Tribolium castaneum: one gene and its partner. The protein of the gene in region 2 binds, or shares a complex with, the protein of the main gene of each other region. Links are inferred from orthologs where the notes say so. Each region holds a gene or a part of one and is shown on either strand. Other genes may lie near its edges.

Region 1 (15,798 bases), on a different chromosome or scaffold from region 2:
ACCAAGTCCTGTAAAAACAATCGGTAATTTTATAATAGTAGTTGTTGAATAAATTTAAATGTAATGTTTTTAGCCGATTCTGTAAATAATGAAAACGACGTTACCCTCAGAAGACCCACTAGTTTACAAGCGGATAAAGAGTGAGTGTGTTTTTTTTCTTATCGCTTTTTATTTACAAAATAATAACTCCTTCGCAAAATGAGCTTCGCCTATTAACCAAGAAATTTAATATTTTTCATCTTGCAAAGGAGAGGAAATTAATAATAGCTTATTTTAATCGACTATTCTCCAGTTTTTACTACTTTTATTTCTTTTCGAATGTATTGTAGTAGAAACTGATTGCATCTAACGCTCTGACACTTGCTTGTATTGTTTAGGTTCTACTCGAAATACGAGGAACTGCATGCACGCATTAAGAAATATAGAAATAGCAATGACATTATTCCTTATTCGACTAGACCTCATTCCGACATTATCCCAAATTCCTATTCAACTTCTCAGCAGCATTACAGGTATGCACGTGTTGTTGTCGTCTTCAATTTTTTTTATTATAAAGCGATGGTTTTTTAACCAAAGGGCAAATATTAACAATTAATCCAACAATTAATGCTTGATGACCATCGCTTTATAATAATTCGTTGTTGAGATGTATTTAGTGCTTTTTTACGATTGTGTAGGAGATTAAATGTCTGCACAAGTGTTTCGTCACGATTTATTAGCATTTGCATGAAAAACTTCTCTTGATAAATATTGAAATAAATTTTCTGATAATCTAAAATATTACAACTGATTATGAAAGTTTATCACTTGTAACAAATCAAACAACTTCACTTTTTTGTGACAAGTCATTAGTTTTACAACTTGGGAATTATTAATTAATTAAAAGTCGTTTCAAATTGTTACGAGCAGTCAGAATTACAACCAAAAAAAAGTTATCTGTTCTAAGGCGAAAGTCACCAGATGCCAGTAATTGTTATTTTTATATTTTTCAAAAACTGTCTGATGGTGAGGCTGGTCAAGTCATTAAAAAAAAATACTATTTCAATAGTTTTTCATTAATATTGGCAATATTTTTTGTCGCTAAAGTTTCAGACCAATACCAAATCAGGTGGTAACGTAACAATTTGGAACGAGTTTTATTTACATTTTTTATTCATACGAAATAGAATAAATAATAAATGCATTTTTATTGAACAAATTCCTTGTTTATTCCTTCTAGAAGTTTGAAAGAAGACAGCAACGAAAATAACAGTACATCATCAACGAAAACATCACCGGTTATGAGTCCAGTATCTAATAATCAACCACTTCGAAGGTAAGCGTTTAGAAAAAACTAAGAAATATCGGATTTAGGCTTAATGTGTTGTCAGTTCGTAAATTTATTTTGTCAATTCTTTCATTAGCGGTTTAAAATTGCCAATTGGCACAAATCAACCTGTCACAACCACTAGCACTCCAACAACTCCTACAACACCTGGTGGCAATAGACTTCAAATGTTTAAAAACTTCTTCAAGTATGATACTGTTTTAACCGAGTTTGTGTGACGTTGCTTACTAAATGTTTGACTTGAGTTTCGCCAATTTTTACTTTTTCTTAAAGTTGAGCTTTGTTTGATTAATTTTTTTCCAAAGGTCGTTTGTGCCACCCGTTCGTGACGAAGAAAGTGAAACGCAACGCAAAGCTCATGCGAAACGTGTTCGTGAGACGAGGCGTTCGACTCAAGGTGTAACATTGGAGGAGATAAAATCGGCTGAACAATTCGTTAAAAAGAAGAATCAACCGAATTGCAATAACAACAATAACGAGCAAGTAAGTCGTGACTTCATTTTTCAGTTTTATGGCTTATTCATCCGGGAGTGGTGAATAATTCTTGTAATAATTTTTTTCCATTCATTTAATAAATCATATGTAATGTGTACTAACAGTCTGGAGCTAACGGGGATTCCCCTAACGGAGTGAGTGTGACCGCTACAATAACCACTGCGGCACCTACTGTTATAACACGTGATACTGAAGAACCCAGTATTACTCATGAGCGTAGGCCGTCGTGGAGGCTGAAAATTGACAGTAGTAGTAAGGTGAGTTTTTAGGTGTTGTGAAAGTCACTGTGGAGCCGCAAATGGATGATTTTTTTATCACTTCTTCTTCGCTTTTTTCTTCTTTTTTTTTAATGATTGAAACATGCAAAATTACCAAAGGAGGAGGTTCTTGATAATACGTGTACCGCTTTTGGTTAAACTTTCAAAAGTTACATTTGAAATGTGAATGAAAAATTGATTAGAACATAGTATTAAATTTTGCTAAAATTAATTTTTGTCATATTAGCACGTTTTTCATAAAAAAAACGCAATTATTCGAAAATTATCCAAAAAATAATAATTCGAATTTAGGCGAAAATCGAGTTATTTTTGCTTTTTTTTAAACTTATTTTGAACTCAAAACTCAGTTTAAAAATTCACTAGGCTAAATCAAAAATGACATTATTTTGGCGACATATCTGGAAAAATTGTTGCCCAAAAATGTGAAATTTCGATTAAAGTAAACCACAAAATCGCCGAAATGGGTGCACAATTTTTCAATTAGACAATTCTATCGTTCTATAATAGTAAGTGCCATTCTAAACAATGAACCAAAGAAATTATATTTCTCACAGCGACTTAATATTAATTAATTCATTTCCAATATAAAGACTTGAAAAAAATTGATGAATTCTGTATGAATTGAGATACATGTTTCTAGGTCGTATTATCTGAATTTTTAAATTCTTCTTTATTTAATTAAGCAAAATTTAGTGCTAAAACTTAGTCTTTGTATTTGGACTTTTTTGGCCTGTCTATTAATTAGACCTTTGATTAAAATTTAAACTTGTGAAATAAGAATTTAAAAGTGGAATCTTCTTTTTTTGTTTTTTTTTTTGGATTACGAACTTATTGGCAGGTAATTATGTGTGTTGGTTTTGATTGCTTATTAACATCGGTTTACTTCGTTAATTTAGTGAATATCAATCCTTACTGTAGTCATTTTTTTTCAGATTTGCGTTTTGGTTTTTCTTCTAAGCTTATACTTAATCTGTAACCCTATCCAACATATTTTGTACTTAACGTCACTTTTCTTGTATTATTACGTTAAGCATGCATGTTAGTGTGTAATGCTATTGTTTGTATTTAGTTGTAGCACAGCAAAAAATACTGATTTATCTGGAGTGTCATAATAATAACTAAACCGATCTCGTTACTAGTACCAAATGAAATTCTAATAAATGTTTATTGAATAATAACCGTTGTGTTTAATAATTTTTTGGGGTCTATATAGTTTAACAACACGGGGTTTGGGCATAAATGTGTGCACGCTAATACTTTTTGTTGGATGTAGTTTAAACTGGAAGATGCAACGAAATCCTCTGAACCACCAAGCACTCCGTCCTTTGTCCGTCGCACCGTCACACAAAATACCACCACGAATCCTAGACCGTCATCGGCACCGGTCGAAACGGCCGAAACTACGGTCACGTTACCATTGAGAAGACCAAAAACTCAAGATGAAAAAGGTACGATAAAAAAAAATTGGACGAATTTTAACCGATTTTTACACAGAACAAGACAAAGAAAATGACGTACGCAACGCTCAAGCCACTCTCGCCACACAGGCGGCCATCCAACGAAGAAGGAGGCCCAAGAGGAGGTCCACAGGGGTCGTCTCGTTTGAAAATATGGATGTGAGTGTGTGTAAAAAATCGCGATTTATATATCTAGGGAGCAAAGTGTATAATTTCCTCCCGTGGGCAAAGTTTGCAGCCCAACACGAAGCAGAGGGTTGTAATTACTCTCGTGACATATATATGATTTTTTTTTAATAACGACTTTTATCCATTTAGGATATGGATCAAGATAAGGATCCGTCAGGAGGTGGTGATTATGAAGATAGTACGAAATTAAATCACGAAGAGGTAAGCGATGTTTTTGCGTTCGATTAATTTGTTTATTTCGTTCATTTATTTTCGTTGGCAACGGTTCGAATCTAATTCGAATTTTTTTCTCAATACAAACGCACCTGAACGTTATTTTCTTAGTATTAGAAAAACCTTAATTATTTCGTAAGTGGGAGGTGATGAAAGGAGCAAGGTTGTGGAAGTTTCACTAAACATTATCTATATTTTTAAAAAAGTTTGTCATCGCTTAATTAAAAAATACAAACAAAATCAATTTTTAACCAAGGAACTGTATTATGAGTCGACTAAAATTGGAACCTTGTGGCCAATACAATGCCAACTCTGATCTCATTGTTATAAAGTTTAACGCCCATACACTTACATAATTTTTGTGATAAAAATATTTGATAAAAAGTACGCATGCATTGAAAGTGTTACGTCTGTGTGAGGCATTTTTTAATAAATCGTAATTATTTGTACTGTAACGATGATGCTTCGAATTGAGGTAAGAACTCGACTGTAATTTGAATTTTTGTTGTTGTTTTAAATTGACTGGCGAACTAATTACGTCTCGTGTAATTGCCATATTTCGGCGCTATTATTAAACCAATAATTTGGCAAACTTGCAAAATATCATACTTATTATTAGCAGTGTTGTGTCGTTTAAACTTTTTTCTCGTAGTAAATTAATTAAGAAACTTATAAAATTTAATTTTAAACTAAACGAAGTTATCTTTCGCTCGTTAAATTCTTCGGCTTAAAATAACTGTACCTAAATATACGAATTATATCTCGAATATCCACCACCATCGTCCCCTTATGCGAAATGTAAAATAAACAAATCAGGTTTAATGTAGGTTATTAAAATCGCAAAAATAGTGAGAATAAATTTCGTCATTCATTTCGGTTTTATTCGCACGTGCCGTTGAGACCTTGGCCAGGTGCGAGTTTCATTTATCATAAACGTTGGATTGGCCAGAGTTCAGAAAATTGACAAAAAGACCAGAAATGCCAATTATTCGTCGTGTATGACTTTTTTTCTAGATTTTCTTTACGTCGCAACGTTACGTGGGTGCGTTATTTCGGTGGTTTTGACGAACAGGTTCATACCTTGAAATAGATTTCTACGTAAAACAACAAATTTAAACAATGTTTATTTAACACACAAAAAAAAATTAATTGATAAACTAAGGGTTGTGCTTGTGTTTTTTTTTTCTGGTCGTTTCAGGAAAATCAAAATTAGACGAAGATAGAGAGTCGTTTAGTGGGATTTAAATAGCTTGCCAGTTTTGTTGGTGTGTGTATATTAGAGTTTCCACGAGTTCAGTCTGTTTCATGTTCGAGTTCAATGCGAAACTTATTTGTATACTATGATTTTTTTAAGTCTATAAATTGTAGTAATTGACTTGAGTTCGGGAAAATTGTGTTTCTTGTGTTGTTTTTTAATCGAGAAAAATGTCTTTTCACGGTAAACAACCGGTGCCTCCTTTGAGACGTCGTTCATCTTCAGCGGTTCGAAGCAACGGAAATTCCTATAGTAATAGACCGAGGAGTATGGGATATTATGGGACAAATACAGTCGGTTATACCTCTCCTTATACATCGTCAAGTCCTTATTCTTCGTCCTCGTCTTATGGCAGTTATAGTTCGAATTACAAAAGTCCCTATTTTCCCAATGGTTACAGGGGAAGTTCCGGTTATGCGAGCATAACAATTCCAGCGAAAAGTCTAGCAAATATAAATCTAGTCACTCCGAATTATTCGAAAACGTACGATACAGGACATAGGTCCCGAAGGGATTTATCTAGAACTGGAAGTTTTAATCGCGAGCGGGATCGTTCCTTGTCCAGATCGCGTAATTCTTTAACTGGTGGTAGTAGCTTGGGATCAAAATCAATCAGTTTAAATTCTTTAGCGTCAGAGGGTTATATTGTACGAATTTTACAAAATTAGTGTTTTTTATTGAGTGTTTCACACTTGTTTGCAGAGTGATAGGTCGAGCAGATCTCGTTTAGGAAGCACTTCGGATATTAGGAACGAAAACGGCGAAATTGACTATAAAAAATTGTATGAACAAGCACTTGTCGAAAACAATGAACTCAAGGACAAACTGAAAAAGTCAGATCAAGAATTGAGGGATACAAAACAGACACTGGAGAAGCTCAAAGTTGTGGTAAGTCTTAACTTAAAGTGAGTTTTTTCGTTTGAATGAAATTATTACAGACGAGTAAAAATTCGTTATCGGAATTAGAGAAACGCGAACGGAGGGCAATGGAACGAAAGTTGAGTGAGATGGAGGAGGAATTAAAGGTAGGTATTTGAATTATGTTATAATTTAATTCTAGTTTCTTCCAGCATTTTTTTTTCTTGTACGAATATTATTTCGTAGTTTGCAGCAAGCTTTTTTTGGATGATTTTTTTTTCTTTTGGACGGGAATTTGATATTTAGTTTAACCATTAACACTAACAGATTAACAGTAACAACACCACATAAAACACGAATTTTCTTGCACAACAAACAACAAACAATGCACAATTTTTGTGTCGCAACGATTATTTTTCGATGACACAATGATTTTTTTACTTGTAAAATTGGAGCACACCATTTTATTTTTAAATTTGAGTTATTGGTGGTGAAAAATAATACTCAGTGACCCTAGAAATGTGAAAGTGTAAGTTGTTGAACAAAATTTGATGTTACATTTCCGCTGTCACTCAGTGTAGTTGTGAAAAATGACTTGCAAATATTGCGTGTAAAAATAAAATGCGGTATTTTTTGGTGTAAATGAGTTAGAGTGTTTGCTATTTTTGCTCACATCATGTGCATTTAAAAACGTATAAATAGCAGACTTATTATCACGTGATATGTTTGTCTTTGGTTATTTTTGTTTTTCATTTATGGTTTATTTTTGCGAATTTCTTGACCTGTTTGAGATAATGATTTAGCAGCAGCAGAGAGAATTGTATTTGTCTGTTTTGTATAAAAAAGAAACGGGTCAACGTGAAACCCAAATATTTTATAAATAAGCCGCCAAATCTAATTCCGTACCAATTGCCTAATACATAATTAATTGCTTTTCATGTGTCGCTCTAATTTTATCAGTAAATTATAAATACATAGCGCATTAACTAAGTATAATGGAAGCTTTAAATCTAGTGTAATTTTCAGGATTTTTCTCCTCGTTATAAATGAATAAAAGTTGTATTTGGTACACGTTGTATTATTGTTTTAGCAATTGCAAAAATTGAAAGCCGAGAATGAACGTTTAAAGGCTGACAACAGGTCTCTCACTCGTGTCATCACCAAACTTACCAACTCTCCAAAAAAATAGGTAAAACTCGTTAAAACGCCATGCAGCTGATTTCGCCCATTTTTTTTAATGAAATTGTTTCCTGTTGTTCATTTTGTTTTATTATTGTACACTTGTTTTGTGTTCAGATGTTGGATGATGGTAGAACGCATATTTACACACCTAATAACAAAAAAAGTTTTTCTTTTTTTAAATTGCTAACATACTAACATATTCTCTCACATTTCCAATTTTGTGCAGTGTTTTTTGTTTGAATGTTTGAGCTTTTTTTCACGGACCGATATTGACACACGGCTTAATTATTCGTACGTGAGCATGTGTTTAACTTACTACAGTCGATTGGCTGTTGCTAATTTGCGTATTGATTTTTTCAGCAGTTGGATATTATGAAGGTAGAAAATCAAAAGCTAAAGGACGAGAATGGAGCGCTTATTAGAGTGATTAGTAAGTTATCGAAATAGCATAAGCCTTAGAAGTTTTAATTTTCCTATTGCATTTTACTCTGATTACTAGAACTTCGTAGTCCGAAGTCGTTTCCTTCCTTTTTTTGTTGTAATCAAGTATTATTGTTATTTTTTATTTATTGAAAATTGTACGAAACGAATGACCACATTCAAGTAATGTCTGCTTCAAATCGGTGAATTTGAGGCAAATTTTACATTTTGACATAATAAGGCATTTGTGTTGGATTGCTTGTAGTTTGCTGGTTGTGTGATATTATTTGCTTTTTATTTATTTTGACATTGTAGGAAAAGACATGTATTAAACACTTCATTTTTACCTACTAAACGAACATGTCAATTTAAAGTATATTTTTTGTAAAACATATAAACATGTTGTATTATATAAATGTATTTAAATGTACTGTACTTTGTGAATAACTTATTATTAACAATTGTTGTGATTTTAATGTTACAAAAAATATATAAATTATTTGTTTTTTCTTGATATTTGTTTTATAATGCTTGCATTTGATCAAATATAAGCATTATAAAAGTTTGTTTTCCTTAGGTAATGTACAAAATCGATTTTTAACGAAAAGTTTAAATTGTTAGAATCTAGTCCAAAGATGAAAAACTTGCGACAAATTTTGTTGAGCACTTTTCACTTGTTAGATGTTTTTAACTTTGAAATTATGCCATAAGGTGCTAAATATCACTAAGTTCAAATCAAAACTTTACATATGAATTTTGTCTGTGACCATAATAATAAAAATTGGACTGATGAATGTTTTGTTTCATTAGCGAAATTACATTTGTACATACAGTTTGTTAATTTCTAGCGTTTTAACGTTTTATTTCATTGAACTTGTGCCTTGCTTCTCTTTGTATTTATTATATAAATTTTTAGTTAGTGTGTAAATTATTTCATGTATTTATTCCTTGTTTAGAGGCTGGTAGAATATCATGTGAATAGTGATTTTATAGCTGATTCTTTAATAAAATCCTGATACGAATTGTGAGTTTTTCTTGGGACTGGTAGGTAAGTATGAAAAAATTCTGTACATATTTGGGTTTATTCTTATAAAGCATTATTTGGAGGAAGCTCCAAATTACAACCTTGACTCTCTCGTTACATTTTTTGACTTAAAACGAAATTATATACAAAAAATAACAACACAAATTTACGAATTGCTACAACATTGTCTTGTGGGTGGTGGAGGAACTTGATCATCGTCAACAACAACAACATTGCGACGTTGCGAATTCTGTCTAGACAAGGGCGCATTTTGCGCTTCTTTCTCTTCAACAGTCTCTAACATTTTCTGCGTCAGAACGAGAAACATCTCCTCAACGCCTTTATTCAATTTTGCCGACGTTTGAAAATGTATCGCTCCCACTTTAATCGCATAGCTGCAAAAAAAATAATTAAAAGTTATTTGAACACAAGCAGCGTAGTGATGAGAGAGTGAAAAACCTAAAGTGTAACTCACGCTTCGGCTTCTTCCAAGCTAACGTTTCGGTTCTTCTCAAGATCAGTCTTATTTCCAGCAATCACTAGACATATATCAGCCCCCAACATCTTCCGCAATTCCTTCACCCAACTTTTGACTTTCTGAAACGAATCTTCATCAGTGATATCGTACACCAACACTGCACCGTTTGACGATCTGTAATAAATAGGGCCTAAGGCGTGGAACTTCTCCTGACCTGCAGTGTCCCAAATCGCCAAATTTATGCGTTTGCCGTCAATATTTAGTTTTTTGTTGAGAAACGAAGCCTGAAAAAAAGTGTGTAAAAGTGAAAATTTAACTTGATTAAACACCGTACCTGGACCGTTGTTACATGATTCGTGTTGAATTTATCCTCCACATACCTAAGTACCAAGCTGGTTTTCCCCACACAACCCTCCCCCAACAAGACAACCTTAAAGTTGTGGGAAGCCCCGCTGGTGTTGTTGGCCATAGTCAACGAATTTCACTGACTCATTAAATACAATTACGCACAAATGATTTATTAGACTTTTCCCCACAATCAACAATTATTTTCGATTACATTTTCACAATCAGCTGATTGTTCTTTATGTAGGCGTGACTTTGCGTACCTGTCGCAATTAGTTTAGGAAAACGCCGCTAGGGGGGTTTCAAAATTTTTTCAATTTTCGGCCAAAACCACATTTTTTCAGGACTTGGTTAATTGCAAATGGTTATTTTTTGACAAAATTTTCGGTCCACAATAACACCGCGAAGAATCAAATCGATTTAAGACGTGTAAACAAGTCGGTTGTAAAAGGAAACGTCAGCTCAAACTTGACGTAACACCGGAAGTCGTACTCAAATCAACAACTGTTTTTGCGTTTCTCAGGCAAAAAACGTGACTTGTGCCCAGAATTCAGGCATGTTTCAGGTTGCGATAAATTAGGTGTGAATTGTGGGATGCGTATTTTAGGGAATTAGGCTAAAATTGTTTGAAATTCGCCCCGAAAGCTTTAGGCTGCGCCTTGAGATGCGCAGTGGCTCATCTGTGTTTCTAGCCGTCATCTGTGTTGTATTGGTAAGTAGACAATCAATTTTTTGCGTTAAATTTCTCAAAAACTACGTGAAAATATTGAATGATTCTCTCTCCTGAGTGTTAGTTTAGGTCGTGTCAATGATTGGGAACGAGTGTCATTGGGAATTATCACGTAGTTCATTTAAAATTCGCTTTTTTTCGTTGGCGTCACATCGGTGGTAGAGAGCGTTTGTTCAAAAGCACAGCTCCAAGTATTGTAATCAGGTCAAATAATTGGATGTCTTTGGGCGATTTTTGCACCAAATCAGTCGAAAACGTGCAATTGTCGCCCAAATTTTGGTTTTGTTGGATTATTTCGACGGGCGATATTAGTCGGGACGTTTGGCACGTAGGCCGCTTTCTCTTATGCACGTGTTGAAGTGTTCCAGTTTCGGGATTGCATCGAGATGTTTTCGATTTAAAAGGCATTATGTAATGGAAAAACTGGAGGAAAATCGGTGTGGTCGTGACACCATTTCTCGAAGGAAAAATAGAAAGTTGTGGGCAAAACACTAGCACAAAAATTGATTATTTTTGAAAATTGAAGCGTCACGTCAGTGGAATTATTACTATTTGTTTGCTAATTTGGGCCCCAGTGTGTTAACCCTTTGTCTCACACTGATCATATATGAATGAATGGGTTACGCCCACGGGAAATTCCATAACTTTGTGTCTGTTTTGTGTGATTTGGGCCTTTAATTTTTCGATAGTTTTTCCCCCCATGGGCCGAAAATGCACGATCTGGTCTCCGACCGGCTTCTTTACACCACGCGTTGTTCCATCATGGCCGGCGTCAACGCTCCACATAATTTTCATCGTGAAATTGTATGAAATGTTACCGAAATTTCAGTTATTTTTGTGTTTTTATCACGAAATTTGTTATAGCATTGAGAAAAAAATCGAAATTTCGTTCTTTAATCGACTCGGAATTGATCAAAAAGTTACCCCCCGCCGTGTTTTAAAACTAAGTATGTGGTAATTAATGTTTTTCCGTTTGTAACTGGTTGTAGGATGTAGTAAACATTTTATTGTTGTTAAAAGTAAATAAATGAAAATTATTGATTCTGGTTTAAGTGTTATCAATGTTTTTGTTGCAATTGGGGTTTTTTCACTGTTTGCGGAAATTGTGATTAATTTTTGTCATCATTTTTATCAACAAATTGAAGATGCAATTATTTATAATGTTGTTCTACTAATAATAGTAGCTCAATCGAATCGCTTAATGGAAACAAAAAATCAACTTCCAACTCTTAAATTATGTAATATATGATCATTAACGAAAAGAAAACTAAATTTTAACATAAAATAAAGTTAAGAGAGAATAAGTTGTGTTGTGAAATGGTTTATTTATTAAACCAAATTTAAATACATTCATGGGTAAAAAAATCTGCAGATTTATTTCAGTTTAAACAGTAAGTTTAGAACTGAGATCTCCATGATGGAGCTTGAAAAACGGACATTATATGGTCTAGAAAGTTTAGAAAATTAAGGAGAAAAATACCAGAGAAATATCAGTTTATAAATTCATTAAGCTTGCAACAAAAAAATAGAGGATTATGGGAAACGGAAGGCTAAAGAACTGTACAGAAATCAGAAAAAAACAATAATTTGCTGTTTTTCAAAGCTAAAACAACCGTCATTTTTTAAACATGTATACTTATTTATTTGTGACCTATTTGTCCTCAAAAGTGTCGTTTTGCCATTTTAAAAAATACTGATAAAATTGTGAAGAAATTTTCCTCTCCGACTTGTTGCAAGTCGAGCAACTAGTTTCAATCAGGAAAAATGGCTTAATTAAAATTATGCAAAATAGATGAGCTTGTTTATTTTTGTAAGTGGGTTGTTGGACGTAGCGTTCTTATTTCTTGTTCAATAAGTTCATGATGTTTATATATTAATAGAAAATGGTGTCAGAATCAAGCTTTTTTTTGGTGGATTTATGTCAATAATTGTGATTACAGTCATTACAAAACGAATGATAATTTTGACTCGTGTCTTGATCGATCCGTGTTGTAGGTGAATGCCCTTTAAAGTTTGTCGACTTTTTAGTCGCGACAACGATGCTGTTTACGATTGCACAAAGTAAATGATGCTTCAAAACTCGTCGAAATCACGGTCGTCTTGTATCTATTTTAATCCTCTGGTTTATTATATGGTCCTGTTTTGCATTGATGGCGCCTTCACCCAACGGCCTACTACCACTGTCCGCGACCTTTATCGTTTTATTTGTCTCGAGATGCACTTTTTGGGGTTATTTTTAGCAAATCGTAGGTCATGTTTTCGTAGAGAACTTATCGGTGTTTACACAGAGATAAAAGAATCGGTTTCTTTGCCGCGATGTAAACACCAGTTCTATAATTAGCTCGAATGATTGATAGCAGTTTTGTGAAACGAAATTTCATTTTTTTTATTTTAATTCAGAAATAGTTTTACTACGATTACAATCCTTGTTATAACCAAAAAAAAAAATAAATAAAAAAATGCGGGAAAACATTTATGGTGTCACAGCTTGATAAGTCTTATCTAGTCTTACAAATTGTGAACATTAGATAATTGATGTAATTGTAGGAAGTGCATTATTAGACGACTTGAAGAACTGCAAGTTATTTTTATTTTATTAAAAGTATTAATCAGTAATGAAACGTTGATATAATACAATTTGCATTCCGTCTATAAATAGCAGGAATAAATTGTTGAGTGTTGAAATACCTGACTATTACGAAATGTAAAGTACGCCTCGGTGCATTATGTTTACGTCGTAAAACAAAATATCAAAACGTTGACATAATTTCGATACGTTTTGTAATTACACCGTATCGCCGAATGCATTTTATGAATAAGTAATTTATCTCACGATAAATGTACAAGACATTGGTGTATTTATAGACAAATCTGTTTACATTCATTTGCTCGAATAGATAAACTTTGCTCGGTATGACAACAACAATACCACAAAAACAATCTTTTGCATATTGTAGAAATGAAACGTCGTGGTGCAACGTACAAATCAGCAGGTAAACGAAAATTTCGTTAATTTTTTTTCTGTTGAGGATTTTAAAGGTCACTTGTGTATGAGAGTTGTAAATTAAAAATTGCAAATGCAAGGCCGGTTCGACCTTCCTTTTATTATCTCATTCAATGTCACATGTTTGAAAGGCTTGATTTGGGCCCTTTTTACTCCCAATCAACAACAGGTGTGACGTTTTCTGTTGGATATTTTTAACTTGACACACTTAATATACGATTATGTTACTAGGGGGATAATTTTTTGGTTCATTACCGGTAATTAGTGCATTTATTTGTTTAAATGTTTGGAATTTATTAGAAAGTGGGAAATATTCCATTAAAGTTAGTTTCGTTCGAAAAGCCGCCTTAGGATGGATGTAGATTATTCTAATGTTCATTGGTCGTTGACCTGTTTATACATTTTTATTTGAGGGTTCATTGTAATCTCAAGGTTGTATGATCTTGGTTCGTTGTGTTGCAACGACACATTTATGAAAATTAATAAAATCCTTCTTTTGGGACAAACTAAATTAAAGAAAGAAAAAAATATATTTTTAAGAGATTTTTTGATGTAAATTGTTAAGGCTTGAAATAGTAACATGCTGGCTTGGTTCTGCTCTACTTGAGCTAGACAGTGAAACAAAAAATCTTAATTAAATCCGTTTAATTCAAAACGAGAAAGAGAAATTGCATTGTTGTCTGGTGTTTTTGAGATGAGACAGCAATTTTATTAGGAAAAGAAAAAATAAAAAAATGAAATGAAACCTTTTACAAGTTGTTTGTATTTTTTTCAGATTTTTATTAGTCTAGGCGCTACACCCCCTGCCCCATCATGTTTTCCTTCCATAGACCTAAGGTGTATAGATCGTCAACAGGATGCTGTATTTGTAAGGCAAAATCAAGCAGGTTAGTGTCAAATTCCTGTCAAAAATTAAACAATTTCAATGATTTTTCTCCCTTCCAGTTCCAGATTTACGGACAGTAAAAAATACGAAGAAGACTTTATGAAATGCTTCAAATTGGCTGAACCCCGTCAAGGTGAAATTTGCAATGCTTGTGTCCTTTTGGTAAAACGATGGAAAAAACTCCCAGCCGGCTCTGATCGCAATTGGAAACATGTAAGTTTCCAAAAAAAAATTTGTTTACGCAACCGTGTGTCATTTGTTTTTTGTTGTAAAAAAAAACTTACGATGCTTTCACAAACTAAAATGCAATTATGGTATCGAAATCAGGTGGTGGATGCGCGTGCCGGTCCCGGAATGAAGTCCATGTCGAAATTCAAAAGTAAGAATAAGAAAATCGATGAGAATTGCGATAAAATCAAGAAGAAGAAGCATTTCGAACGCGAGTACAGTCCGTTGTCGGATAACGAAGATGTGGATATGACTGAAGTTGATTTTTTGTGCGAGGATGGCCCCAGTGGGGGCTCCAGTCGTACGGCGAGTCCTAGAGATAGTGACAGTGAGGAAAATGTGGTGAAAAATAGGAGGCATAAAGGACAAGCGAAGAGAAGGGATGGAAGTAGTCTTCCGGATCTGAGCGATTTTATCTGTCCGGAGTATTGGAAAAGGTGGGTGTTTTATTTATTATTATTTTAGATAATAATTGGTGAGTTTATTGTGCAGAGAGGCGATTTGTTGCGGGACAATCTTTAGAGGAATGTGTGGAGAAATAATCGTTGATAATCGATTTTTGAAAGCTTGTTCGGCACGTTTAAGGTGTAAGTTGGCAAGTCAACATGAAGAAGTTAAAACCGAACCGGAGGTTGGAGTCACTACGAAAATGTTTAGTGATAGTAGTTCGGATTCAGGTTATGATGAGTCGTCAAATCAAGGCACAATAAGTGGAGATAGTGCCTTTAAAAAAGAACAAGTTAGTATAGAGGAGTTAAACAGTCAGATCAAAAACAATTAATGTATGCTCTCTTTAGATTGTTTTAATTTATTGATACATAATGATCGTTGTGTTTGTAAAGATTTATGCCTTTCTTGCAGATTCGTTCTCGTTTTTTTTACCAGTTGATATTTTTTTCTTTATAGTAGTTGTACTTAATTTGCACAAATTAACAACACTGTACAAATGATATAATTCTGGAGAAAAGCATAAATCCGGTTTTCTTTTCTCATGGTGACAGTACAAATGATGAAAAAAATTGGTAATTTCCAATATTTTTCTCCTGCTCAACCAACCAAGTCACAGGGTGAAATATTTGAAGTTGTAATTTATAAAATAAAAAATGTAGATTTGTCTGTGACGGGGAATTTTTGACGTTGGATGTTCCAAATCAATCTGTTGATTGGGTCCAAAAGTTTATTATTATATTACGAACGACACCATTTTTATTATCAACAAATTTCAATCAAAAAGTCAATTGTTTAAGACACAAAGATAAAATTTACTTATTTATTGTTTGGCAGTGTAAAAGATTTTATTTTCTCATTCCGTTAATGTGTGATGTGTTAAATTATTATTTTAAATTATGTAATTTCGTTACTCTGCCTTGAATAAATACGACCGACTGACTAGAAGTAACGCGTAATTTTATCTGTGTGTTTGTGCAAT
Region 2 (16,946 bases):
TGAAAGTATCATTCGTGAAATTGGACGGCTCCCGAGTCAATACTTCCCTCCAGTTATCACCACGCATTGATCAGCTAATTAATCGAAAAACTTTCCATTTCCCGGACTTTGTCAAGCACTCATCGTTGCCCGAATACGTAACAACCGTCACCAATTTGTTGCAAGAACACATCGAACAATTAGTCATTTACCACAAACTCAAAAAAGAGTTTATGACTTGTTTGTGCACAATGTACGCGGAAAGCGTCCTAGAATTTGATTCGGAAAAATTCGACAAAGCCGAAATATTGCTAGAAGTTGACGACTATCACTGTCTCGTCCAAATTGAAATTAATCAGACTTTCCCCGAAGAAAAACCCACAGTTACCCTAATTGCAATCAATTGCCACCCTTTGGCAAACACATGCAGGGAAAAATTGGACTACGAGTACAACCCGCATTGGACACCTGAGGAAATGTTGGCAAAACTGATGGATTCATTGGGTGAAAACATCCAACGTTTTGAAAATCACAAACACGCGTAAAAACAACAACTTTATTTACACTAACAATATTTGACTACAAGGCAATAAAGTTGACTCAAACGTTGCCAATCGAAATGAATAAAATTCTTATTTATTAAATTTTAGTTACAATAATATGTATAAGTTAAGTAGCTTCCTCGACCAATCAAGGAGGCATCGTGTTTGTTACCATGGTTGTGTTCGACTGACGGCGCCACATTTGTTAATCAAGGGAGCCGTGGTTGAACTACACCGAAATTCAAATTGAATTTTTTAGATAAACAACAAAATGGTCTATTTTTAATTTATAAGTCGAAAACATTAAAAAAAAAACTCATTTTATTTTTGCAAAAATAAAAAAAAACTATGTATTGTTTGTTAATTAAAAAAAAAATGGTCATGTTTTCTCATTTTATTTTTACACGAAAAAAACTTTTCAAATAAATATGTACTGTTGCTAATGTGGTTTGGACTTTAAAATTATTTTTCATAAAAATCCAATTTGAAATTCTTTTCGTTTGCACAGTTCAACCTTAAATTAAATAATCACCACTATTTTAATGTCCCTCTGGCAAAATAACGAGCAGAGATTTGAAAACGCCAATTGCTCCAATATCATACATAAACTATCACAACTTAATGGTGTATCTTAAGATACGCATCCTCGAACAACTCCAACTCATGTGCCAAATAATTGGCTTTGTTCCTTAAAACTTTAGCCCTTCCTGCTGCATTTTCCAACGTTGCCACATCTTTCTCCAACTCTTTGAATTCCTTATCCATTTCGCCCGTTGCTTCATCGACCACGTGACACAATCGAGCAAAAGTTCCGCTCAACTCTTGCTGCACTTGATGACTACAATTCGCCGACGTCAAATCAACAATCATTTTCAATTTTCTAGTAGCGTGATTGACGTATTGTTTCTTAAAACTCTTTTCTTTGGCTTTATTCGTCCAAGTGAGACGTTCATAGAGATAGAGACAACTATAGACAGCCCCCGTAACTGCAATAATCCTCCAACCGACTGTCTTAAACAAAAACCCGGCAACTAAAAGACAGCCCATTGTACCTTGCGAGGACACGCCCATTATAGCCAATCGCGAAATCAACGACCAATCTTCAATGATTGAAGGCTGGCCGCCGTATAAAATACGACCATCGTATTGGTCGGTTGGAGTGGAGGGGATGACTGAATTTTGCGGACTTTCCCGTTTGTTTTTCAAGGCGAGGAAATTGGCGCCACTGCCGGCAAATCGTTGAATTAGCGTGGTAATCCCCCAAGAGAATCGGAATTCTAAATCTTCGGTAAAATCAGCGCATAAATTATCGCAATTCAACCGATACAAAATCTCAAACGGTTGCCGACGCGGTAAAATAAAATTAGACGCCGCTTTGTGATTTGCTGGTAGTAATTTTTCCATACGTTCGGTCATTTCGCGTTGACTCGCTTCCATGTTCATTGCTAAAGCTGTTGAAAGTCGGGCTTTTAAATTTGAACCAAGACCGGTTTCGACGTGCAAATGCAATTCTTTTTTGTAAACGTTCAAAACTAAAGGTTCAGGATGGAAGGGGAGATTAAATTCGTCAACAAGTGTACTCAAACGACGGATTTCCTCGTTTAAAGCTTTGGAAACGCGCTGTTCGACGTCTTCGACCATTTGGTGGATTTTTTGCTTCATTTCTTGTGTTATTATAATTAGTTGCTCTTCAGTGTAGTTGATTTTGTCGTGTACTTCTTTCTTTTGACGCAATTTCTCGTCTTTTAGTTTTTGCGCGTCGTTGTAAATATCGTCTAAAACCTCGCGAAGTTCGCTGAAAAAAATTACTTAATCACTTTTAAATAAGGCGAACAAAAAATTGCAGGCAGATAAATTAATTCTCAGTGGCAAGAGATTAAAATAATGTAAAAATTGTATCATGAACTATACAAAGTGTGTCAGTTTGGTATTGTAACTCTATAGTTACAGGGTTGCTAAAAAGGCTCGCAGCGCCCTAATTTTTATTCTGCCATCTAACTTTTTTGGGTACGATTTTGCATCTCGCGTCGCCTCCTAACCTATAGTACTCCCTAGACTCTGTACTCACTTTGCTATGAATTTTCCGCGTTGTGAATGTTGTTCGAATTTGGTTTTGACGGCCGATTTCGAAATACATTCTTCGAATTTTCGTTCAAAATCCTGAAATTCGAAATAACGCGTCTGGAAACCTTCAGTTAGCGGTGTTGAAACGGTTTGTCCTTGTTCAGCTAATCGTGCTTGTAGTACTTCTTTGGCCGAAATAAAGAAAATTCGTTCTTCGGCCTCTTTCGGTGTACAAACTTTTAGTTCTTTGACAAGAAAATCGACGGCACGTTCTTGGTGTTGACGTCTGACCTGTAGAAAAAATTATTAATTTAATAGAAGATTTAAATTCTAAAGTGTCACTGTGAATCTAATAACTCACCTCTTCCTGTTCATTGCAATGCTTAAATGTGAGAAAATTTGATGTAATTATGGACAAAAAAAATCAATAAACTTATCAAGAAAAAAGCGACAAAACAAGGAGAATGATAACAAAAATTATTAAGCAATGCAATGCAAACAAAAATCGAGGTGTTTGTGAATTTTCAACACCCACCTGATCCAAAAATTCCGGTTCGGTGGCAGAAGCGTCCCATCGATTATTCAAAATGAAAATGTTTGGTTTTGAGAGTCGTGTCGAGACTTTATGGAAGAAATTTTTTTCCTATTACACATTCAATTAACGAAAAGATATTCAAAAAAATTTGGTTATTTGTTACCGTAACCATAAGTGTAGATTCAGCATTCGCTACTAAAACAAAAACATCAGCATCTAAACAATGCTTGTCGATCCATTCGTCTAAATTCGGCGTAACGTCAACTCCTGGCGAATCAACGAACACGACATCGTCTCGTAACAAAAGACAGCGATTTCGCGGCCAATAAACGCGCACCATTTGCGATTCGTTCAATTTTTCTTTGCACAAAGCGTGCGCTAATTGGCCAACAGATTCCACAGCACAGTGTTCAGTGGAACCTTCAAGAACCAAGTAAGGTTCATCGGACGGTGAACCTTCAACCTGTCAAAAAAAATAGTAATTCAAGAAAAAAAATTGATTTAAAATTTTTAAAATTCTAGCTTTAGACGCAAAAATAACTTTACCTGTAGGAAACAATTAGTCGTGTGACCAATTCCGCTGGGAAGGATTTTATCGCGCAGCATTGCATTAATAACTGAGCTTTTCCCGTTGGAAGTGCGTCCAAAAAACGCAACTTTCATGTGGTCACGACTCAAGACATCGCGAATTCCGTGCACTTTACTCACAAAGTCTTCAGTTTTCTTAACCCTTTCTTGGTTAACAATTTCTTGCAGTTTCTCGATTTCTGCAACTTGCGATCATTTCAAGGTCGCCAAATTTTCAACTCACCGTGCATATACTCGACTGCGTCTTTAACATAGTCTTCAATCTCGCCGAAAATATCGTTGATTTTCTTCTTGGCTTTGACAAAAATCTGCAAAGGGGAGTTGTCAGGGGGCTGTCGGGCGCTTCTAGGGTCAACCATGCTCGCAGGAATGGCTTTATTGTGGGGGCCATCGCCCGCCATCAACGAAATTGTGCGGTTTATATAAGCGGCCATCAAACAAGGGGGTGCCAATCTACCATGCGTCTAGCAGCAGCAACTGAAACAAAACATTACAACTTAGAAACATTTATTCTGTGGATAAAAAGCGACATGCGACATGTGATTGACATAAATTATTGTGTGAAAAACCTGCTCGTTTGTGGGCATCTTGACGTCCGGGGTAATCTAACCCCAACTTACAATCCTCGAAAAATTAAGGCGAATTATCGATATGTGTACCAAAACGGGGCAAATACGTACCTAAGGCGCATTAAACGTGTATAAATACGCTATTTATAGCCCAAAAAATAAATAAATCGGTATAAATATATTTATAGGCGACTTGACACCAAAACTGTCAAACTATTCAATTGTTTCGTATCTAGAGACAAGATTTGAAAAAACGACAAGTTCATACCGACAATTGTAATCCCTTTGTATGATTTAACTTACATTTTGTGTTATTTGATTACGTAATTATTATTTTTGTGAGGCGATTCCTCCAAAGCACGAGTTTTTAATTTTTGACGTTGACGTTTGTTTGGGAACTTTTTAATGCGGTTGGTGACGCGATTGTGTTAATAAAAAAAATATTTTTGGACTACTAGTTCAAACTCCAGATTCTAGAATCCCAAAAACTACAATACCAATAAATTGCCGACTCTTATCAATAATTTCCTAATTGTAATCGCAATTAATTCCCATAAATTGGTGTAGAATTTGAATCTCGTTTTTATCACGTTGGTAGTCATTAGCAACTGTCAGACTGTCACCGCTTATTGTTGTCCAACTGTCATTTCGATTTCTCTTGTTACAATTTTGAGGTAATTGAGTTAATTCCCTGTTGATTCGATCAACGCTTGCGTTTAGAAATGAGCGATCAAGATCAAGAGTCAGAGACTCCCCCCGAGATGAGCCCCCACGATGTGGAGAAAATGGAAGAGGCGAAGCTCAAAGCCAAGTACGGGGGGTCGTCAGGCGCCCCCAACCGACTCATGGGGGGCCATTCGGCCTTCCTGCAGAAGCGCCTGGCCAAAGGGCAGAAGTTTTTCGATTCGGGCGATTACCAAATGGCCAAGCAGAAGCTAGGCGGTGTCAATAAGGTCAAGACTGTCCCTGTGCCAGGATTCACCACTGGCGAGGCAATCCCTACACCTGAGACCGTACCCGCGAGAAAAACGTCCATCATACAGCCGTCAAAATTCACATCGAATGTCAGCTAGTTTTTTTAAGTAGCGTTTAAGTGTAGTTGTTGGTTCCTTACTAATTTATTTTGTTTATTCCACCACTTTTTACTAAATGGATACAGATATTGGCATTTTTCAAGTACTCAATAAAATTTTCTTTCCAATGTTTGGACGTGTTTAAATTGGGCGCCAAAAAAATAAAATTCCCCAGTTTCGTGACAAGTTGTCACGGGAAGTGAGGTTACGTGATTATTTTATTTATCAAAAAAATTCAATTTCCCAGCTTATACCTACGTTAGGTGTATTAAAACTAGAAAAAGTGGAGTTGGTGTTTGAATTAAAGTGATTATCTCGTGTTATTTAACACCTTTTCATTGATAAAATCGGTGTAAGATTAGTGGTCATAAAAATGGTTTTCTGTTAATTATTCGGCAAGAACCACAAAAAATGAGTTGTGAATACTTTTCCAAAGCCATAACTGTGAGTGACTTTGACCGAATCTGCCGCACGTGTCTCGGGGACAATAAAACAAGGCCCATCATGGACACAATAATTGGGGACTTTAAAGCAGTTGAATTACTGGAGTCTTGCGTAACTTTACAAGTGACAAAAAATGATTCGTTGCCTCAGAACATATGTGAATCATGCCTGAACGAACTTTACCGTTTTCACGAGTTTAAAAAACAGTGTCAGGATAACGAAGCTGTCTTAAAATTATTGCTTGAACAGCCACAATCCGAGCAAAAACTAGGTGAAGACGAAGAATTTTGCAATATAACGCTAATTGAGGAGGAAGAAGTTGAAAAAAACGAAACTTCCGAAGAAAAACCCAAGTCTAAGACTGATCCAAAAACCCACAAGTGTGAAATCTGCGATAAGGTCTTCACTCGCAGCAAGCTCACGCAACACATGCGCACCCACACGAAGGAAAAGCCCTACCAATGCGAAATCTGCCTCCAGAGTTTCAGTATGCGAGGCAATTTAAAGCGCCACAAAATGACACATACGGGGGAACGCCCCCACGTTTGCTCCACCTGTGGGCGGGGTTTCATCCAAGCCACGTCGCTCCACGCCCACGAAAAAACCCACACACACGACGATCAATACGCACGTGACCAAACCGACCCAATGAAATTCCTTTGCACGTACTGTGGGCGTGGCTTCAAGCGCCTCGTTCCGTTCAACGCCCACTTGGAGAAACACACTCGGACGAAACACCACGCCAAAAAAGAGGAAACTCCAGAAGCGCGCGAACATATTTGCGAGATTTGTTCGCGTGGTTACAAAACCAAACATTTGTTAAAAGCGCACAGTTTAACGCACGGCGAAAAGTCGTTTTTATGCAGCGATTGTGGCAAAGGTTTCGTCACGAAAGCGGCGCTGCAGTCGCACCTCAAAGTCCACACGGGGGAAAAACCGCACCGGTGTATCATCTGCCAAAAATCGTTTGCTCATGTTGGCAGTTTTGACTCTCACATGTTAATTCATTCCGGTCTTAAACCGTACGATTGTAGTTATTGTCCCAAATCGTTCACTCAACTGTCACATTTGACCTATCATTTGCGGACACATAGTGGCGAAAGACCCTTTTCGTGCTCCTACTGTGGCAAAAGTTTCGCCCTTAAGGGCAATTTAACAGTACATGTGAGGACACACACGGGGGAGACGCCCTACGTGTGCCCCGTTTGCGGAAAAGGTTTCTACGATTCAAGCAGCATGAAAAAACATCAAAGGAACCATAGGGCTCAAGAGTTTGAAACAGCTAGAGGTGGGGAAAAGCCGGATGTACCCAACTGGGCGGAGTCTAACTGCCCGCAAACCTAGACATGTCTCTAGGTCACTGATTTTTTTATCAACTGTGTAGATAAAAAAAGTACTAAAAATAAATTTCGTAACTAGAAGTTGTATTTTATTGCGGGTTAAGAGGTGAATGATACAAAAAAAATCGTCTGGTGATGACGCGTTGCTATGGTCGTAACAATACAATTGCCATGGCATTGATCACGGTATCCATAGTGACGAATAATAAGTGTTTGTTACTATGGAAATAAATGAAACTAACGAAAAATTGGGAATAAAATATATTTAAAACATTGATACAGTTAATTCTCCTTATCCTGACTCGTCTGACTATTGGCTTGTGATGCATTGGCGCCCAGCTCCCCCGTAATGCACGGAATGCTGGGTATTTGCCACCCCTGTTTGGAAAACCCCGAATATTGTGCCGTCATTGGTTTAATCGGCGATGGTAAATTCGGTCCTTCGTCCTCTTTCTCTAATAGAGTTTCTTGCGTTTCAACGAACGGTAAAACAAAATCGTCCGGTTTTGTCGGTATTAAAGGAGCCTGTGTTATCGGGCAACTGCTCCCAACTGGACTGAAGGGATCCGGTGTGAAACTTGGCGATTTTCTCTTTTCTGGGGTCAATTCAGCCAAACTACTCTCGCCACTTAAGTCGGAAAAATCGATATCGTAGTTGATTTTAGAGAGACTGTGATCGTCAGTCGGCGATGTTTTACTAACGCACGGTGTGATGTCTAGTTGTAATTTAGTTTTGGCATCGTCGATGTTACTTGTGGCGATTTGGAGATTTTGCAAATAGAAATTTTGACTGTTTTGAGTGTCGTCAACCTTTTCACTAAGTTCTGGGGTTTTACGCGGCTTGATGATAAGTGGAGTGCGCTCCAGAACCGAATTAACTTTCTCGTTCATCTCCTCTTTGAATTTTAAAATATCGTCAGTTAGTTTTTTCGTTTCGTCTTGAACCGTGTTCGTGCGAATCGACAAGTCTTTAAGGAGAGACAAGTGTTCGCACAGCTGGTGCATGCCTTCGCATGCCACAAGTGCCGATTCCCAGGCACTTACCGATGTTATCTCTCCGTTCATGTAAGCCTCGAACTCTTGCTGAGGCATATTTAACGACTCAGCGGTCAAATTTTCAATAAACGAAACGGCGCAGCACAAATTAGTGAAATAATAACCGGCTTCCCCTTGCATTAATCGACTGTCGTTGCAAAAACGCGTTACGTAAAGAATGTTACTTTTCAGTCGTGCCGGATTCGCTTTCAAGACGATGAAAATGAGAGCTGGTAAAAATTCATCGGCACTAACTGGACCTCCTTGACAATGTTGCAAAACTTTGACGACACTCTGACAACAGGAAACAACACAAGACAGCTTGTCTTGTGGTGCTTTCATTGAATCCATTCCGAGTAAATGTGTGATGGCTGTGTAAACTAAATCCCTAACTTCTATACTAGTTTCGCTAATGCAACAGTCTAAATGATGTGCGTTGACCCAACTAAGCTTGCGTATGCGTTCTTGTATTATCAAGTCTTTCTCTTCGTCGTTGGTGCTCGGTGGGCAAAACAGCCAACTAGAAGAAAAACATTCAACTCATTTTTTAACGAAAATTTAACAATAGTTTTTAAAAAATATGTAAAGCGCGTTTATAAATTTGGGTCAAATAAAAACAATACCAACCTGTAAAGACTGACCATGACGTACTTTTCGAAAAAATCCAACAACTCATCCCGAACGTCTGTTGTAACTTCCTGATACGTCTCCGTATTATTGACCCGATTACTGTACAAATTGTAATATTTCTGCGCCATTTCGGCAATATCCTCGATCGGTTTATTCTCCAACTCGCTGTAGATCTTCGTTGTGAACGACTGAACACACTTGAAAAAGTCCCTTCGGACTTGTTCACCCCAAACCCCATAGAGCGAAATAAATTCAGCCGTCAATTTATCAGCATCTGGATTCGCTTGTCTCAAATCCAAATGACGCTCCGGACGACCCGAATCTGCACCGTCCCCATTTTTACACAATTATTGCAAACACTAACAATTTTACCTTTAGCGCTTGAAGTTTTGCGAAAAACGGGCAAACTTTTCAAATATTTGTTCTTCTTGTCGGTTTGTTGGCGCTTCTTTTCTTCGAATTTCGAAAAACCAGAGACTTTGGTTTGGTCGGAGTGACTTTGGCGCGCCTTTCGTTGGCGCTCCTGGTCCATGTGGTTGCGGTAGCATTTTGAACAGTAACCTAACGAAGATGAATTAATTACTTAATGTTTTTTTCGTCGGCTTCATCAAAAGGGCGACGAAAAATATTTAATTGTTTGTGTCAATATTTCTCGAAATTTCTGCGATAAGAAAAACAAAACCCAACTTATCACGATTTACAATAGAGTAATAATTAATTAATACAATGACCTGTGTGATAAGGAAAAAATTCGATAACACATTTTCCGGCCTTGTGTAATAATGGACTACGGGTTATTATAGTTTTCTGACAACGAATTAAATAAATGACTGTATTTTAGCAAAAGGTAAACCAAAAAATACACGCTGACAAAGCGCTAAATTCTCAATAGTACAAGATAAAAAGAAGAATGCAAAAATTATATCGTAAATATCAAAATATTAAAAAAAGCTAATTCCCATTTGCCAATAAAGTGCTACAAAAAGCACTTGATATATACGTTAAATAACCACTTGATGAGAATGAAGATTTCCGTATCAAGGTTTTGTTAAGTCTTAAAAAAAATAATGTACCCAATGGCCAATTTAATCGAAGGTTATTATTTGGGACAAAAAATCGTTTGATAAATTCCACTTTAATTTTTTTCTCGGGTTTGTTGTGAAAATTGTCATCAGTTTTTCTCAGGATATTAGGAACGCAAAGCTCAACACGTCTTTATTTTTTTTTTCAAGTGAATTCACGATGGAGTAACGATTAATTAATACAATGACCCGTGTGATAAAAAACTCGATAACACACTTTTCGGCCTCGTGTAATGGAGGACTTACCGTCCCAATCGGCGTTTCCATAGTATCCGCACCCATTTTTGCACTTGAGATCGGCTTGATTGATCCTTAAAGAGGGTTGTTTGGTGGCGTACATCATGTACTTGTAAGAACGCTGCAAGGCAAATATCGGCATTTTCACCCCACTAATAACACTACTTAAGAACTAAAGAAAATAGTTTATGAGTCCGTTCTTTGTGAATTTCTCAATCGCCCATCTGTTGTGGATTTTTCACTCGTTGAGTGACGATAAAAGGCACTCGTTTTTAGTTTTTGATTATTTTACCACGGTGGTACGAAGCTGTGATCGTGTGCACACAAATTCAACTCTTTCATTAGCATTTGGACGACTGGGAATTGGGGGAATTTTAGAAAGTTGATGCCCGCTGTTTCAACGATGTGAATCCTCGTTAGGGATTCGATGAAGGCACTTATTAAACTTTCACCAGGATCAGCCATTTGTGGAGGGTTTGTCAAGGGGGTGAATTTGTTAACGACAGGGTGCTGGTTGGAAAAACGCAAGGAGGAAACGGGGGGCGAACGCTCGGTGTTGTTTTTTTCGTGAAACGCGAGACAGCTTGGCTCGATTAAGACGAGAAAACTGCCGTTGCAAGATGATGGAGAGTCTTTTATTGGAACGAGTTTATCAAGCGATAAGGATTAACCAATTGAATGGACAAGGTTAAAAGTCTAATTTGACCAAGAATCCTTATCTACGGCCAATCGCAGCGAGGCACAGTTTTCGTGCTAAATAACTGAAGACGATTCGCGTCAATGATTTTTTCAAACGGTGATAAACAACAAATTTAGCGATGATTAATTAATGTTTACTCACCGTCTAGCAAGTTTCGTCAATCGCTCACTAACAAAATGTTTTGCATCTTTCTTGTGGTGATGGTGATAACCTGAAATCAGAAGCGCCTTTCAAGCACAAAGGAAATATAATGTAATGTGTGTCGAGAGTCAATATTGACCGGAACAACCAATTTCATTGAACAAGTATCACTTATTTGGCCAAGATTACTCAAGCAATTTCATATAACCTTTTGGCCTTGATAAAACCGACTTAATTTTAGAAACAAAAAAGGACTCACACGCCTGTTTTATCACTCGTTTTGCAGCAATAAGGACTTTTTTACCAAATTTATCGCTCACAGTTCATTTTTTATGTTTGTTGTTTTGATCAAAAAATCAATAACAGCTGACGCACGCCATTTTTTACCTTCGCAGTGCTGCCAACCTTGCGATAACAAGCGCCCAAACTACTTTTTTCAAATGAGATAAAAAATCTTTTATCAAAAAAGCGAGAAGGTTGCCCTTTTTTTATAAACCACTTGAAATTATTTAAATCAAGGTCCATCCACTCGTCGAATGATTTGATAATTCTTATCTGGAAACATCTGGTGATGATATCATGCAAATTAATCGGCTGTCTTGTGCATTCAGTATTTTTAACAATGATTTAATTAAAGATTGAAGCCACATGTGTGATTTATGGGGCCACCAATAATACATTCACTTGGAATGTTAAAAGAGTGGCGTAGCGCCAATCGGATTGTATCATTTTTTATCGCAAACCGAGCCGTTAAAATGATAATCCTGTCCGTTTTTAGTGTTCTTACTTCGATAAAGCGATAAAACGAGCTTTTTGCTTAAAAATAAAAAGCCGCCCCCTAATCTGGTGACTTTAAGCGCTTACGTGTGCAAGCCTTCCGCCAGTTGACATTTCATCTGTTATGTAGTTAATTGTCAAAAAAATATGGAAAATAGTATCTCTCTGAAAAAACCGTCACCCCTTGGCCAAAAAAGCACCGAAATGAAGAAACCATCACCTAATCATTAACACCCGTTCTAATCTCGCATCGATAATTCCGCCACTCGTCCATTTTCAATTAAAATTTACCGTTTTGTTTTGACGTCGACGTAATGCAACTGTAAAGTAATGGTGGTAATAAGATGTTAGAAATTTTCCAAATGTTTTTGTTCTTGTTCAAGTCGAAATACCGTCGAAAATGTTACGTGTGGCAGGCTTTGTGTTGTGCTGTTGTGGTTTTAAATGTTTGCTCTCTTGTTAAGGCCAAATGTGCGGATTGTAGCGGCAATGGGGTGTGTAAAAATGAGACTTGTGTGTGTTACGACGGCTGGCAGGGGCCCCAGTGCCAGTTTTGCGGCGGAAAAGTGCGGTAAGGGGACACTATTACTCGGTCTAGTCGGCTGGCTCCATAGACATATACCGCAACAAATGTCAAGAAAAAAATTAATTTTTTCCTTGCTTCAGTTTGGGTACCTCCACCGGTACCATTCACGACGGCTTGGGCAACTACTCTCTCAGCGTGAAATGCTCCTGGTTGATCGACGCCCCCAACACCTCCATCACCCTCCACCTGGAGGAGTTCGCCACGGAGTGCGGTTGGGACCACCTGTACATCTTCGACGGCGACAGCGTGGACTCGCCCCTTCTGGCCGTCTTCAGCGGTCTCATGTACAAAGGCGACTACAACATCCGCCGCATCCCAGAAATCGTCGCTTATTCGGGCTCCGCCCTCGTCCATTTCTTCAGCGACGATGCTTTCAACATGTCTGGCTTCAACATGACCTACCGCCTCAACGCCTGTCCCTCGAAAATATCGGGGGTGGACTGCAGCGGCAACGGCATTTGCATTGATCAAGTGTGCACATGCAACGGGGGCTGGACGGGGGTGGCATGCCACCTTCAAAAATGCCCCGATAATTGCGGACAACACGACGGCAGAGGCCGCTGTGAGCCCGAATTCGGGTGCCGGTGTGAAAGTGACTACAAGGGGGACGATTGCAGTCAATACGCCCCCAGTGGCTATTGGGAAACGGTCAATGTTGAAAGTTTTGTGCCTCCGGGATCGGCCTCACATGGGGCTGCCGTGTGGAGGGACTCCATGTACGTCATCGCCGGGGAGAGCTACAGTCGCAGATTTATGCTCTATGTATACGATTTTAACGGTAAGTCGCGCACGCCACTGGAAACAATGTCGTATCCATGGAAACAGTGTAATTGTATCCATGGAAACAACATCGTAGTCATGGAAACAGTTAAAAAACCAGTGGCGTTTCAGGGAACGTCTGGGAGACACCATACATTTCCGAAAGTCCCTCCCAACGCTACGGTCACTCGACCGTCATCTATGGCGATAAAATCTTCCTCTATGGTGGTGTGATGGGTAATCGGGGGCCCACGTCCGAAGTGTGGGCTTTTGATATTAATGCCAAAACTTGGGAGAATATAACTGTGAAAGCAGTGGCGTGCAATTCGAGTGTGTTGATGTGTGGGCCGTTGAAATCGGCCGGACACACAGCCACTGTGATTGAGAATTCGACCAATCGGAAAGCCGATCGTATGATTGTTTTATTCGGTCATTCGCCACATCTTGGCTACTTGAATACGGTCCAGGAGTATTATTTTGGTACACGGGAGTGGCACATAGTTGCAACTAAGGGATATCCGGTCAAGGGTGGCTATGGACATACAGCCACCTGGGATCCCTTGACTGGGAAAATTTATGTTTATGGAGGAGTGGTTTCGGAAAATGAGTCGGCTCAAGTTTTGAGTAAAAGTCTTTATTCGTATGATCCCAATACGCGAGTTTGGGTGTTGTTGAAGGACGCGCCTTCGGCTCGTTTCCTCCACACTTCGACTTTTATTTCGGGGGGTTTAATGCTAGTTTTTGGGGGAAATACCCACAACGATACGTTGCACAGTTTCGGAGCAAAGTGTTACAGTTCGGAGTTTTTGGCTTATGACGTTACGTGTGATACTTGGCAGGTGTTACAAGTGCCAAAGGATATTCACGCTGATTTGGCTCGTTTTGGTCATTCTGCCGTTACTTTTGAGGGTTCGTTGTACATTTATGGAGGGTTTGACGGACAAATGTTGTCCGATATGTTAAAATATACACCCGGGAGTTGTACAAATTTTATCACTTCCAATGAGTGTTTGAGTAAGAAGCCCGGAGTTAAGTGTGTCTGGGATATGCGGAATAATTTTTGTACGGCCATTCAGAATATTCCGGTGAAGAATTTGACGGTTCAATTGGATGGGTTGATAATCCGGTGTCCGGAATTGAGTCGTACGATGATTACGCAAAGTTTAATCCAGAATGAGAATCGTTGTGAGAAATTTGAAGATTGTTTGAGTTGCGTTCAAACGACGAGCGAGTGCGTATGGTGTGGAAATTCCTGTATGCACAACAAAAAATGTCGAAATAGCTCCGAGGCCAATATTGCGAAATTGGAACAATGTCCGCTCGATCCTAGTCCTATTTGTAAGCAGCTGCACACTTGCTCGGCTTGCACCTCGCAACCGTTCTGCAGGTAAGCGGCAGTCTTGATGATACGGAGACGAAACGAGATACAAAATCGACAAAAAATTGAATCGTTTAATTTAAAATGAAAAATTCACTAATCAGTTAGAAAAAATGTTGAGTTTTCCACTCTTAATAAGCTGTTAAAAAAATTATTTACTATTGAGAATTTAAGGCTCTTATCTTGCCTATTTATTTTTTTGTTGGACTCTTGCCCACTGTTATACAAATATTTACAAGCATTTTTCGACGTTTTATTTGTATATCGTTTCGTTATTCTTAAGGCAAATCGCTCAAGGTAAGTTTTTAGATGGCGCTTCGAGCACGCCAAATGCGTGACCCACCCCTTGCCTTCCAACGTAACCGCCGCCGCTGCGGAACCCATCCAATGCCAAAAAGTCTGTTCCGAATACAATTCCTGTCTCAACTGCACTCAGGAGGAGTGCATCTGGTGCCAGAACGAAGGCCGTTGCGTTGACAAAAACGCCTACACGGCCAGCTTCCCCTATGGTCAGTGTCGCGAATGGACAACCGTTGGAAGCAAATGTCGCACTCGAGGCGCAAACGAAAACTCCCAATGCAGTTTCTACTCCACGTGTGCAAAATGTCGCGATGACCCCGCTTGTGGATGGTGCGATGATGGGTCCAGGACAGGTCTTGGCAAATGTATGCCTGGAGGATATGCTGGTCCAACATTACACACTCATTCGCTCCCTTCGTCCACTTGTCCTCCAGATCGGTGGCATTTTACAACGTGTCCGTTGTGTCAATGTAATGGACATGCGAGTTGTATTGCGAATTCGAGTGTTTGTCTACCGTGTCAGAATCTGACGATGGGGACGCAGTGTGAGCATTGTGTCAAAGGGTATTGGGGGAATCCCGTAAATGGGGGAAAATGCCAACCGTGTGAATGTAACGGGCAGGCGACGCATTGCCATCCAGAATCGGGCAAGTGTTATTGCACGACAAAGGGATTGATTGGGGATCATTGTGAGAAGTGTGATGCCACTAATCACTATAATTCCGACCCGATTAACAAGGATTCGTGTTATTGTAAGTTTTTCACCTCGTAAAATCACTCAAAATAACAACTAACTTTTTATCTGTTAGTTTTTGCCAACATTTCAGTTGTCATTTTTTTTCAGACGATTTAACAATCGACTATCAGTTCACCTTCAACCTGTCGAAGAAAGAAGATCGCCACTTTACCCAAATAAATTTCCGAAATTCCCCGATTAAGGCCGACATCGATGCCGATTTTTCCATAACGTGTTCCGTTCTTGCCAAAATGAACATAACAATAAGACGTGGTGGTTCAAAGGAAGAGAAGCCGATTTATGAAGATTTCAATTGTACCACTTTCCGGACGAAATTCCCTAAGTCCGATTATAATTTCGGTGTTGAGGATAACATCACCTTGACCACGTTCTACGTTTATGTTTACGATTTCCAGCCGCCACTTTGGATCCAGATTTCTTTCTCCCAGTACCCGAAATTAAATTTGCAGCAGTTTTTTATCACTTTTTCGTCGTGTTTTCTCCTGTTGTTGCTTTTCGCTGCGATTTTGTGGAAGATTAAGCAGAGGTATGATATGTACCGTCGCAGACAGCGACTTTTTGTTGAGATGGAACAAATGGCATCGCGTCCGTTTTCGCAAGTTTTGGTCGAGTTGGAAGTGAAGGAAAAGCTCGATTTTGATAATATTTCGGTGATTGATTTGAAGCGAAAAAAGCGCGATGCCCCAAGTCCTATTGCACTTGAGCCTTGTTATGGTAATAAAGCGGCCGTTTTGAGTCTTTTAGTGAGGTTACCGACGGGTTGTGAGCCTTACACAGTTAAGGGCCAGTCGGCCGGTTTGGCTATAGCTAGTGCTTTGGTAACGCTGGGGAATCCCCGCAAAATGAGCATCGATCAAGTGAAAACCGAAACGAAAAGTGGAAAATCGCGCAAATCCCAAAGTCAGCATCCTGATAGTTGTCTTTAGTTGGGGTTTTTTGCCGTACTTATTGGTCCGAATTTGTGATACGTTTTTCCAGGCCATGGATTTTTTTAATAGCATTAAAAATGACAAACATGAAATAGTTATTGGTGTGTTTAGGACGCCACTTGTATTTCGAAGCAATTTTAGCAATATTATGATGACTAACTGCTTTTTTTAAAATCGCCTCTTTTCCTCCTCCATTTGTTTGTGTGGTGAGCTTTTTTAAGACGTTTTAATGAGAGACTGAACATATTTATTGTTTTATACTATTGATATTTTTTCATCTGTTGATTTTTACGGTAATGGGCTCGAATTTTATTTACTCATCGGATCGACTAGTCCTTGAATCATATAATGCGGTCCTGATCTCATTACGTACACTTTACTCAAATTTTAGGAAACGTGTATCCGTTTTCAACCCGTCTCATTTTTATATCAATACATTCAACTTAGATGCAACATATTTTAGTAACTTTCCATTTTATTTACTGCCATGTACCTATTATA

Evidence for each region.
Region 1: the proteins of Rabex-5 (region 2) and ras-related protein Rab-21 are in contact, whole or in part, in a crystal structure (PDB 2OT3), measured with the Homo sapiens proteins. The link is inferred for Tribolium castaneum from reciprocal best matches to the Homo sapiens genes RABGEF1 and RAB21. Residues at the interface, in NP_001273991.1 of Homo sapiens: Leu253, Cys254, Lys296, Phe299, Asn300, Lys303, Pro309, Ala310, Ser311, Ala312, Asp313, Phe315, Leu316, Pro317, Ile320, Leu347, Met348, Thr349, Gly350, Glu351, Gly353, Tyr354, Tyr355, Thr357, Asn358, Cys360, Cys361, Ala364, Phe365, Ser373; in NP_055814.1 of Homo sapiens: Ser19, Phe20, Lys21, Gly26, Glu27, Gly28, Lys32, Thr33, Leu37, Thr50, Thr51, Leu52, Gln53, Ala54, Ser55, Phe56, Ala71, Trp73, Asp74, Thr75, Ala76, Gly77, Gln78, Arg80, Phe81, Leu84, Ile87, Tyr88, Asp91.

The regions. Positions count from the first base shown.
Region 1 is NC_087394.1:37,244,163-37,259,960, forward strand, and holds ras-related protein Rab-21, read right to left. Parts: upstream 9,964-15,798; 5' UTR 9,646-9,963; coding exon 9,511-9,645; intron 9,461-9,510; coding exon 9,174-9,460; intron 9,094-9,173; coding exon 8,865-9,093; 3' UTR 8,738-8,864; downstream 1-8,737. Other genes in the region: Mbs (protein phosphatase 1 regulatory subunit 12B), read left to right, coding at 1-23, 74-140, 378-512, 1,220-1,315, 1,404-1,514, 1,633-1,810, 1,927-2,079, 3,374-3,548 and 5 more; SIN3-HDAC complex-associated factor, read left to right, coding at 14,069-14,142, 14,201-14,354, 14,469-14,806, 14,862-15,150. UniProt on the Homo sapiens protein: The small GTPases Rab are key regulators of intracellular membrane trafficking, from the formation of transport vesicles to their fusion with membranes.
Region 2 is NC_087395.1:26,375,800-26,392,745, reverse strand, and holds Rabex-5 (rab5 GDP/GTP exchange factor), read right to left. Parts: upstream 10,753-16,946; 5' UTR 10,261-10,752; coding exon 10,128-10,260; intron 9,361-10,127; coding exon 9,172-9,360; intron 9,122-9,171; coding exon 8,797-9,121; intron 8,690-8,796; coding exon 7,417-8,689; 3' UTR 7,380-7,416; downstream 1-7,379. Other genes in the region: BRISC and BRCA1-A complex member 2, read left to right, coding at 1-524; transmembrane GTPase Marf, read right to left, coding at 1,140-2,316, 2,590-2,876, 2,947-2,967, 3,121-3,228, 3,284-3,583, 3,667-3,887, 3,932-4,142; endos (alpha-endosulfine), read left to right, coding at 5,000-5,350; zinc finger protein OZF, read left to right, coding at 5,762-7,138; dsd (attractin-like protein 1), read left to right, coding at 12,081-12,307, 12,403-13,100, 13,214-14,468, 14,769-15,511, 15,604-16,442. UniProt on the Homo sapiens protein: Rab effector protein acting as linker between gamma-adaptin, RAB4A or RAB5A. Involved in endocytic membrane fusion and membrane trafficking of recycling endosomes. Stimulates nucleotide exchange on RAB5A. Can act as a ubiquitin ligase.